2 linked regions of the Canis lupus familiaris genome follow. The protein of the gene in region 2 interacts with the protein of the main gene of each other region in a biochemical or structural test. Links are inferred from orthologs where the notes say so. Each region holds a gene or a part of one and is shown on either strand. Other genes may lie near its edges.

The links.
Region 1: the proteins of NFKB2 (region 2) and BCL3 form a complex in vitro, tested with the Homo sapiens proteins (2 studies listed by BioGRID). The link is inferred for Canis lupus familiaris from reciprocal best matches to the Homo sapiens genes NFKB2 and BCL3.

The regions. Positions count from the first base shown.
Region 1 is NC_049222.1:111,335,341-111,339,910, forward strand, and holds the start of BCL3 (B-cell lymphoma 3 protein), read right to left. Parts: upstream 3,055-4,570; 5' UTR 3,040-3,054; coding exon 2,784-3,039; intron 1,046-2,783; coding exon 892-1,045; intron 414-891; exon of another isoform or gene 1-413. UniProt on the Homo sapiens protein: Contributes to the regulation of transcriptional activation of NF-kappa-B target genes. In the cytoplasm, inhibits the nuclear translocation of the NF-kappa-B p50 subunit.
Region 2 is NC_049249.1:15,092,027-15,096,515, reverse strand, and holds the start of NFKB2 (nuclear factor NF-kappa-B p100 subunit), read right to left. Parts: upstream 3,050-4,489; 5' UTR 2,895-3,049; intron 1,637-2,894; 5' UTR 1,563-1,636; coding exon 1,542-1,562; intron 1,266-1,541; coding exon 1,184-1,265; intron 1,070-1,183; coding exon 1,029-1,069; intron 764-1,028; coding exon 665-763; intron 586-664; coding exon 434-585; intron 202-433; coding exon 95-201; intron 3-94; coding exon 1-2. UniProt on the Homo sapiens protein: NF-kappa-B is a pleiotropic transcription factor present in almost all cell types and is the endpoint of a series of signal transduction events that are initiated by a vast array of stimuli related to many biological processes such as inflammation, immunity, differentiation, cell growth, tumorigenesis and apoptosis.

The sequences.
Region 1 (4,570 bases), on a different chromosome or scaffold from region 2:
ACGTTTTCAACTGCAGGTGATGATGAACTATGGAATTTGTGAAATCGGTTTAAGGGATCCTCAAATCAATCGACTGACCTCTGACCCTGAAACAGTGGAAGAGTCTAGAATAGAAAATACAAAGTAGATCCCATCTATTAAGGGGGTCTCTTGTTCTGCGCAATTTTTACTCCTATGTGTGTACGTGTGCTGGGTTTAACATAAAGTATATAATAGCAATGATATTAATTAATCAGTACTTACTGAGTTCTTATAACCTACCAGGCTTAGTGCTAAGAGCTTAACATGTATAATTCATATATAACAAATCAATCAATGAAATATCTTTCTCCTGTTTGGAGTTTTAAAAAGAATTTTGGGGTATATTTGGGTACCTTTGATTATTTTATTTTTTAAAAATCATCCCCAGGACGCCTGGGTGGCTTAGTGGTTGATCGTCTGCCTTCCGCTCAGGGTGTGATCCCAGGATCGGGGATCAAGTCCCATGTCTGGCTCCTTGCATGGAGTCGGCTTCACCCTCTGCCTTTGTCTCTGTGTCTCTCTGTGTCTCTCTGTGTCTCTCTCTGTCTCTGTCTCTCATGAATAAATAAGTAAATAAATAAATAAATAAATCTTAAAAAAAAAGTCATCCCCATACCCAATGTGGGGCTTGAACTCACAACCCTGGGATCAAGAGTTGCATGTTCTATCGACGGAGCCAGCCGGGCGCCCCTCTCATGCTTGGATTTGGATAAAAATTTTGTAGCTGCCTGCTTCAAAAACAGTCCTAGGAGGTAAGTGCTCAGGTTGCCCATTTTTCAGAGAGGAAGCTGAGTGCCCCTGTGTGGTGGTGGGTGAGGTGGGCGGAGGGCTGGCTCTTCCATTTATGGGGGGGGGGGGGGCTTTACTCACGTGTCTCCGTCCTCATCTGCATGGGTGGCCACAGCGATGTCAGCCGACAAGGGATGTTCCATGGAGTACACCATGGAGTACAGGGGTGTAGGCAGGTTCAGGAGAGGGAAGAGGGAGCCCATATTCGGGGTGGGGTATATGGGAAGTAAAGGTCCTGGACAGAAGGAAGGACAAGGGTGAGGCCAAGCTCACAGACCCTCAACCCGCCCCCTACCTCCAGACCTTCGCTCCTGCTGCCCTGTTTGCTAAGGTCCCTTTTGCATTTCATACCAGGCCCGAAAGGCCCAAGACAAAGTGGCCTTTCACATCCATCTGGGGTCCAGCAGCTTCCCCCTTCACTGTCCTCCGTGAGCCCTGGTCACTGTCATTATCACTTATCTCTTCATGTGTCTGACTCCCCATCTCCTCCTAGGCAGAGTTCCTTAAGGACAGGCCTGAGCCCCATCATCACCCAGCAGGGGGACCTGAGGGCCTGTTTGCCTAGTAAATTTGTGGCTGAGGGAAGTAAGAATGGATGAAACACTGGGTGTTGGGTGACTGTGTAGAGAGTTGGGGAGAAGGGTGGGTGGGTCAGAAGGAGACGAACAATGTCAGATGCCAACCATGGCAGCAGTTGAAGCCATATCCACCCATCACACAGATGGGGAAAACTGAGGCCTGGCTTCTCATGCAGGGAATGGGAAAGAGGAGGCAGTGGCAAGCCTCCTGATGCACACCCTGAGGTTTTCTAACTTGCTCTACTCTGATGGTGTGGAAGGTGCAGGAACTGGGCCAAAGTCTGGAGGCACTAGGCATGGGCTTTCTGCAGCTTTGGGGCCACTCAGGGATGGGTGATGTGGGGACAGCTGTGGTAAGGGATGCCCCTTCCTTGAGATCAGGGATGGAGACAGGGAGAATGCTGTTTGGCCTCCTCTCTCATCTCCTGATCTTTGGGGGCCCCCATTCATGCACCCCCAAGTTTGCAGACCCTTGTATCTCCAGTACCGGGCCTTGGTGTCCTGCAGCTTTTTGCCTGGACACCCCTTAATTCTTCATCCTGACCCTAAATCCTTCACTCCCAGAATCGCCCGGTCCTGCCCCCCATTCCTAGAACCCTCCATTCCCAAGCCTTGACTTTGTGGCCACCTGACTTTGTGACCTCCAATGAGACCTTGAGCCTGTGTGACCATACATAACTGGTGCCCAGGACCCCAGATTCTCTGTCCTGCTGGCTCCTCAGGACCCCTACTATCTGCGTCTGTTTCCTTGGATCCTTGTGATTCCAGATATTGGGGTGCTTAAACTCTGTTCTCCTGATTCCCACCAGTCCCTGAGATCATGGTTCCTGAGATTTTGATGTGCTGACACCTCCCATATCTGACTTCTTAGAACCCGAGTCACTGTTTCTCTGACTTCCTTTGATACCACATACCTGGATGCCAGGAACCCCAGTTTCTTGGGCCAAAGCACTGAGTCTTTATAATCCTCAATATCTGGGTTCTAAAGAGCTTATAACTCTGTGTTCTTGGGACTATAGGCTCTGCCCCCTTGATTCCGCAAGAATCTGTCCCTATCTGTCCTGCTGGGCACTGTCCCCTGGGTCTTCCTATCGTGGCTTTCAGACTGGGCTCTGTCCCCCAGGACCCCCTGACACCCGGTGTCCTGGGACCCCCATATCTATGTCGGAAGGCACTGCTCCCTGAGGTTCCCATGACCGTGTCCCCGGGACCTCAGGCCCTGCTCCCTCGCAGCTCCCCAGAGCCCGAGGTCCTTGGGACCTTGGATTCCGTCGCCCCTGTTTCTCAGCTCCCTGGGGAGCCCCTGTATTTGCATCCTGATCTCTGTTGCCTGGCTCTGGTGACCCTGCGCCCTGTCTGACCCCCACCTGGCCCGGACCCGTGGGAGCCACTCACCCTGGTAGTAAAGCGCCTCTGGCCGGGCCAGTCCGTGGGGGGCCGCGGGGACCGCCGGGGAGTCGGGGCCGCCGCCCAGGGGATCCGGGCCGACTACTGGGCCCGCGGCGCCGCGGGGGGCGGCGGGTTCCGGGGAGGGCTCGCGCAGAGGGCGCTTGCGGAGCGGCAGCGCGGCGCCCGGGGGCCCGGCGGCCTTGGGCCGGGTGCGCAGGTCCACGGGCCCCTCGTCCATGGCCCCCGCGGGGCATCGGGGCATGGGGCCGCCGGAGACGGCGGCCGAGCGGGCGGCCGGAGCGCTGCTCGGCTCGGCGGCACCGGAGGGTGGCTGCGCCGGGCGCCGGGACTTCCCCTGCCGCCGGCTGAACTGAAGGGACTTTTGTCGGCCGGGGCGGTGCCGGTCGCCCGCCTCCCCGCCCCCGGCCCCCCCGGGGCCACCCGTCCGCCCCAGGGGTTTCCTGGACCCGCCGCCGCTCCCGCCGCCCCGCGGTGCTGCCCTCCGAGCGTCCCGCCCGCGCCGCGCCCCGCGCCCGCCCCCTCCCGACCCGCGGCGCCCCCGGCGGCTGGGCCCCGGCGCTGGTGGGGGGGCAGGGGGCGGGGTCGGGGGCCGGGGTCCCCACCCTTGCGGCTGCGGGCCTCTCGCGGGCGCTGCCTCAGTGTTTTGCTCTTTCTGGCTACTTGTCTCTATCTCTGTAGCTCTGTATCTGGGTCTCTGCGGGCTGGAGACGTGTCTTTCTGGGTCTCTCGCTCTGTCTCTCTGTCCTCTGTGCCTCTCACCATCTCTCTCTGTCTCCTGTCTCCTGTCTCCTGGGTACGGTCTGATCTCAGCTTCTCCCACAGGGAGGGGTTCCAGGAGGCCCCGGGCTCACTAGGACGCGGGTTCGAGTCCCGACTCCCACTTCCTCGCCGGGGTGACCTTGACCAGGCACTTCCCTCCGCCGAGCCGTTTCCTCCTTTGCGGGAGGAAAAAGACGCACCCAGGTCAGGGACTGCCCTCGGCAGGCGCCCAGCAGCGCGGACGGTAGTGCCTGCCATCCCTCTGCCTGCCCTGTCGCCATCCCGGCCTCCTCCGTGTGGCCCAGCCGTGCGTCAGAACTTCGCTTCAGGGGATGGGGTGCACAGTGGGTCTCGGCCTGAAGGGCCCCTCTACCCAGCTCGAGCTTCTGGGCGAAGAGATCGATCGGGAGAGACCCGGGGAGGGAGAGACGAGGAAGACAGCAAGGGACGTGGAGACGCGGCGCAGAGTCCGGGCTACGGGGCCCGGGGTGCGGGGTGGGGTGGGGTGGGGTGGGGTGGGGTGGGGTGGGCGGTCTGGCTGCCCCTTCCCCCCCACGTTCCCCTCCCCTCCGGGCGGGCTTGGTGGGTGGGGAACAGGCCGGGCGGGTTGGGGGCATGACTCAGAGGCCGCCCGGAGCTGGGGGGCGGGGCGGGGCGGGCCTTCCCCGAGGCCCCGCCCCCGCCCCTTCTCTCCGCCCCGGGGAGGGGCCGCCTCGGCGCGGGGCTTTCCCGGATTTCCCTTGGGGCGGGGCCGTCGCTGGGGTTGAGTCCGGGTCACTGAGTTACGGGAGGCCAAGGGGGAGGCTTTGGGGATTTAGGGGGGGGCGCGGAGGAATGGGGGCCGCACTACGGATCTGTCCAGGGGGCACACAGGCCCCCCGGGTCTTTTAGCGCCCCCCGTATCTGCAACGCTGTCCCTCCATCCCCGCCTCCGGCCCCGCCCCCATCTCTTTTTGTCTCCCGATCTCTGCCTGTGTCTCTGGGCCCCTGAAAGTCGGTGTGGGGCCCCGGCC
Region 2 (4,489 bases):
CTCTGGGTAGTGGACATACATGTGACCCCTGCACTCCTCCTCCTCCTCTACTCCTTCCATGAACACCTCCCATGACCCCTCCTCCCCCCCATACCAGTAAGGCCCTGGGGCCTGGAGCGGAGTCGCTGCCTCTGAAGTTTTTGTATCATAATCTCCATCATGTTCTTCTTGGTCACATGCAGGACGCCCAGGTTGTTAAATCTGGGTGGGGGAGGGGGCGGAGGAGTCAGAAGCTTTGTAGGCAGTTCTTTCCTCCTGAGGCACCCTCTCTACTGCCAGGCCTCAGCTCAGCCCTCATTCCTCCAGGAAGCCTTCCTGGTTTTCACTTGGGGCCTGGGGTTCTGAGGCCAACCTGTCTCTCTCCTTGGTCAGATGCTAAACTCACAGAGGCAGGCTGGGGCCTAGGACTGGGAGGCAATGAGGGGGCACCTACTGGGCAGTCATGTCCTTGGGCCCCACAGACACGGCGCAGACCCCCAGCTCCGAGCATTGCTTGCCCACCAGGCTGTGGGCATGAGCGCGAGGTGGGTCACTGTGCGTTACCAGGTCCACCTCAATCTTGGCTGGTCCCTCGTAGTTACAGATCTGGGAGGGGTGAGGGTTGTCAGTAATGCTCCTGAACACACTGTTAGCCCACCCTCCATCCAGCACCATCCTGACTCACCTTGACTGTGGGATAAGTCTTCCGACCCTTCTCACTGGAAGCCCCTGGCAATCCTCCATGGGAGGGGCCTTCACAGCCATATCGAAATCGGAAGCCTCGCTGAACGTCCCAGGGCAGATTGACAATGTGAACAGGAGGGACCCCTCTTTTCCCCCCAAGCCAGTCACACTCCCAGCCATCAGTGACCACAATTGGCAGTGTCTCTCCTGAACCACAACACCTCCATTGTGATCAGTAGCAGTCAGCCGTTTCAACCCGAAGTGGCCTCCGTGATCAGTGACCCTCCCCATGGCCACCCAACTACAACTACCCCACTGGTCCCTACAGCCGAAGTCCTCCCACACCATCCCTTCCATTCACTCACCTGCTTAGGCTGTTCGACTATCACCAAGTAGGGTCCATCAGCTGGGGACAAAGGGGCCTTGCTGAGCCAGGATTTCAGGGCCATCCCCCAGTCAGAGGGCACATGCTCCTCCCTCCCCCCTCTCTAGGACAAGGGGAGCTAAGGAACTCACTAACCTGTCTCTGGGGCTGGCTCCTTGGGCTCTGCAATGCACGGGTCGAATTTGAAATCATCATATTCAATCATGCCATCCAGACCCTGGTTTGGAAACAGATTAGGGTGGCAACTGAATCTGAGACACCGGAGAGCCTTCCACTTCCCAGCCCTGGGTAGCCACTCCCTTTCCTCCCCAGACCCATAAAAAGCTCCTCTTGGAAAAAGTTTGCAGACAGGCAGGCAGACTGACAAGCAGGTTGAGATAATCAGAGGGCATTACAGGTGTAGGGGGGCAGAGGGGACTCCGACAGACAGGCAGACAGACAGACAGACATGGGGGGCAGCCGGCCGGTTTTAGGGCCAGGAGGCGTGACTCACTGGGTCGTAGCAACTTTCCATGTCTCTGGGCTAGGCCCGGCTCTGTCTGGTGGCTCCGGCCAGGTTCTGTTTCCCAGAGTGTTTCAGGCGCCCGCCTTAGGTGGGGGCGGGGGGGAGTGACGGGGGGTGGGAGGGAGAGACAGATCAGGACACGAGGGGGGGGCGAGTGGGCCCCAGATTTGGGGGAGGGTCTGATCTCTTCCAGCCACCCGTCCGGGTGTGGCGGGCGAGATCCGGCAGAGCGCGAGATCCGGAGCTGGGCTGGGCAGGGCCGGGGAAGCGGCAGGAAAGTTAGAACAGCTTAGGAAAGTCCCGAAAATACCAGGGGGAGGCGGGGCCGGAGGGGGCGGGCCTGGAAATGACGCCACTGGCCCCGCCCCCGCGGCGGGAGGGGCGCGAGGTCGGCGGCGGCCTCCGAGCTTGCAGCGGCTCTGAGGGCAGAGGGGCAGCCAGACCCAGGGAGGCGCCCCTGGTGATTGGGCCCCCTTCCTCGTCCCAGGGCAGGTGCGGGGGGCTGGAGGGCCTTTCAAAGGTGGGGGACGCTCTTAGGTCGGGGCGAGGCCCGCCTCCCGCCCCCTCCCCCTCCCCTGTCCTGGAGCAACCTTGGGATTTTCTACCCTGAGGGAGGCCACGGCTGATTCACCCGGGGGCTTTTGGGGGGACATTCCTGCTGTAGGAAGGCCTCCTTTCCGAAGGCCTGTAGGCGGGGGCTCTTCCCAGCGGGGGCCCCCGGGGTTCTGCCCCGAGAACGGACTCTGGGGCCGTGGGGCGGGGGGAGGAACAGGGTCTCCTTCTTGGGACGGGCCCTTCTGTTGCCTCTCCCCGAAACATCTCAGCAGTCATTGGGTTCCCACACCGCACCTGCTCCGGGTGCCCACGCCCCCTGCCCCAGGCCCATGGCCGTGTGTGTGTATCACAGGCATAGTGTGCGTCGTCCCATGTGCTTGCGTGGTGTCAGTATGCATGTACCAGTGAGCAAGGCTGTGTGCAGGTGAGCGTCTGTGAACTTCTCAGTGTGGACGCGTCTGAGCGTGTTTTGATATGTAAGGGCACAGGTGAACATAGGAGTTCGTGCGTGAAGGATATGGGTCCAGGCACCTGTGCACGGGTGAGCATGTTTGCGTGTGCGCGAGTCTGAATGCATGGACAGTGCTGTGCACTCGTTCGCATACGCGTAGGTGCACGTATGGGTCCGCGTGTTTTGTTTTGTTTTTTTGTACAAGGATGTCGATGAGTATCCGTACGTCTTGTTCGTGTGCGTCCTGTGTGTGCTTGCAGATACCGCTCTCCAGCCCTGAGCCTCGGTTAGTTAAGGGCCCTCCTTCCGCCCTTCCCCGTGTCCCGGCCACTCACCGCGGCGGCGGCTCCGGTTCCGGCTTCTCTCCGGCCCGACCCACCTCGGACGGGTCGCGACACTTCTCCACAGCCACCCAGGCTCCAGCCGGGAAAGCCCCTTTTCCACCCCCGGGAGGGGGGAATTCCCGTGACGTTTCCGTGCGTCACGCCCCGTGCCCTTTTTCATTGGCTGAAAGTTTAACTCCGGACTCGTGCAGCCAATCCGGAGCGACTCACGCACGCCCCTAGAGGGGAGATACTAGCTCAGGCGGAGGAGTCGGGAGGTAGGATGACGGGCCGCTACTGCTAGGGCTCTGGCAGGGGGACCTGTCGCAGGCTGGATTCGCTGACCGGGCGCCATCTCCCGGCCAAGGGCCCCGGCTCCGGTCTCTTTACCCGCCCCGCCAGCCCCCAGACAGCTGGCAGTCCCTGCTGCTACTCGGCTCATGCTGCGCCTAACTCTTGCCCACTTCTGAAGCCGGGGAACCCCAGAGGGAAGCTGGGGGGCCCCAGGCCTCGGGTCCCCAGCCCGGAGCGGGGCCCCCGCTGCCGGGAAGAGTTGGGGGAAGAGGAAGGAAGTTGATCTCGCAGTTGGTCCCGGGGCGCCATCTGGCGGCCCCTGGTGGAGGCGCACGGAGACTCGGTAATCCTCTCGTGTTGTCTCAACTCCGTCTCCCTTCGAAGAGAGCATCTGAACCTGAAACTTATTGTATAAATGGCAAGGTCACAGAGGGAGACTTCTAGATCTGAGCTCCGGCTCTCTGCGCCAGGGAAGGTAAATGAGGTGTTCATCTTGGAGACTCAGATCTTGCTCATCCATCACGGAGATTTGGAATATTAGAATTGAAAAGGCATCCAAAATCTTAAACGGTTCGAACTTCCTCCAATGTAGGAAATAACCTTTTATAGAGCTTCCAACCCCGCTTGAACACTTTCAGTGGCAACAAGATCAGCACTGGACTTCATAAAATACTGACTCTGAGGCTGAATATCTGTGATAGGTGGAGTCCTGGTAGAACACAGGCTTTTGTTTCAGTTTTTTTTTTTTTTAAGATTTTTAATTTATTTATGAGAGAGAGAGAGAGGCAGAGACACAGACAGAGGGAGAAGCAGGCTCCATGCAGGGAGCCCGACATGGGACTCGATCCCGAGTCTCCAAGATCAGGCCGTGGGCCGAAGTCGGCACTAAACCGTTGAGCCACCTGGGCTGCCCTGTTTGATTTTTCAAGCAATTTGCCCGTGACCTTTTTTTTTTTTTAAAGATTTTTTAAAAAAGATTTATTTATTTATGATAGACATAGAGAGAGAGAGAGAGAGGCATTGGGAGGGACAAGCAGGCTCCATGCCGGGAGCCCGACGTGGGACTCGATCCTGGGGCTCCAGGGCTCCAGGGCTCCAGGATCACGCCCTGGGCCAAAGGCAGGCGCCAAACCACTGAGCCACCCAGGGATCCCCAAGATTTTTTTTTTTTTAATTCATTTGAGAGAGAGAGTGAGACCACTGGCAGGAGGGGAGCAGAAGGAGAGGGAGAAGCAGGCTCCCGGCTGAGCAGGGAGCCCTATGCCGAGCTCTATCTCAGAATGCAGAGATCATAACCTGAGCTGAAGGCAGAA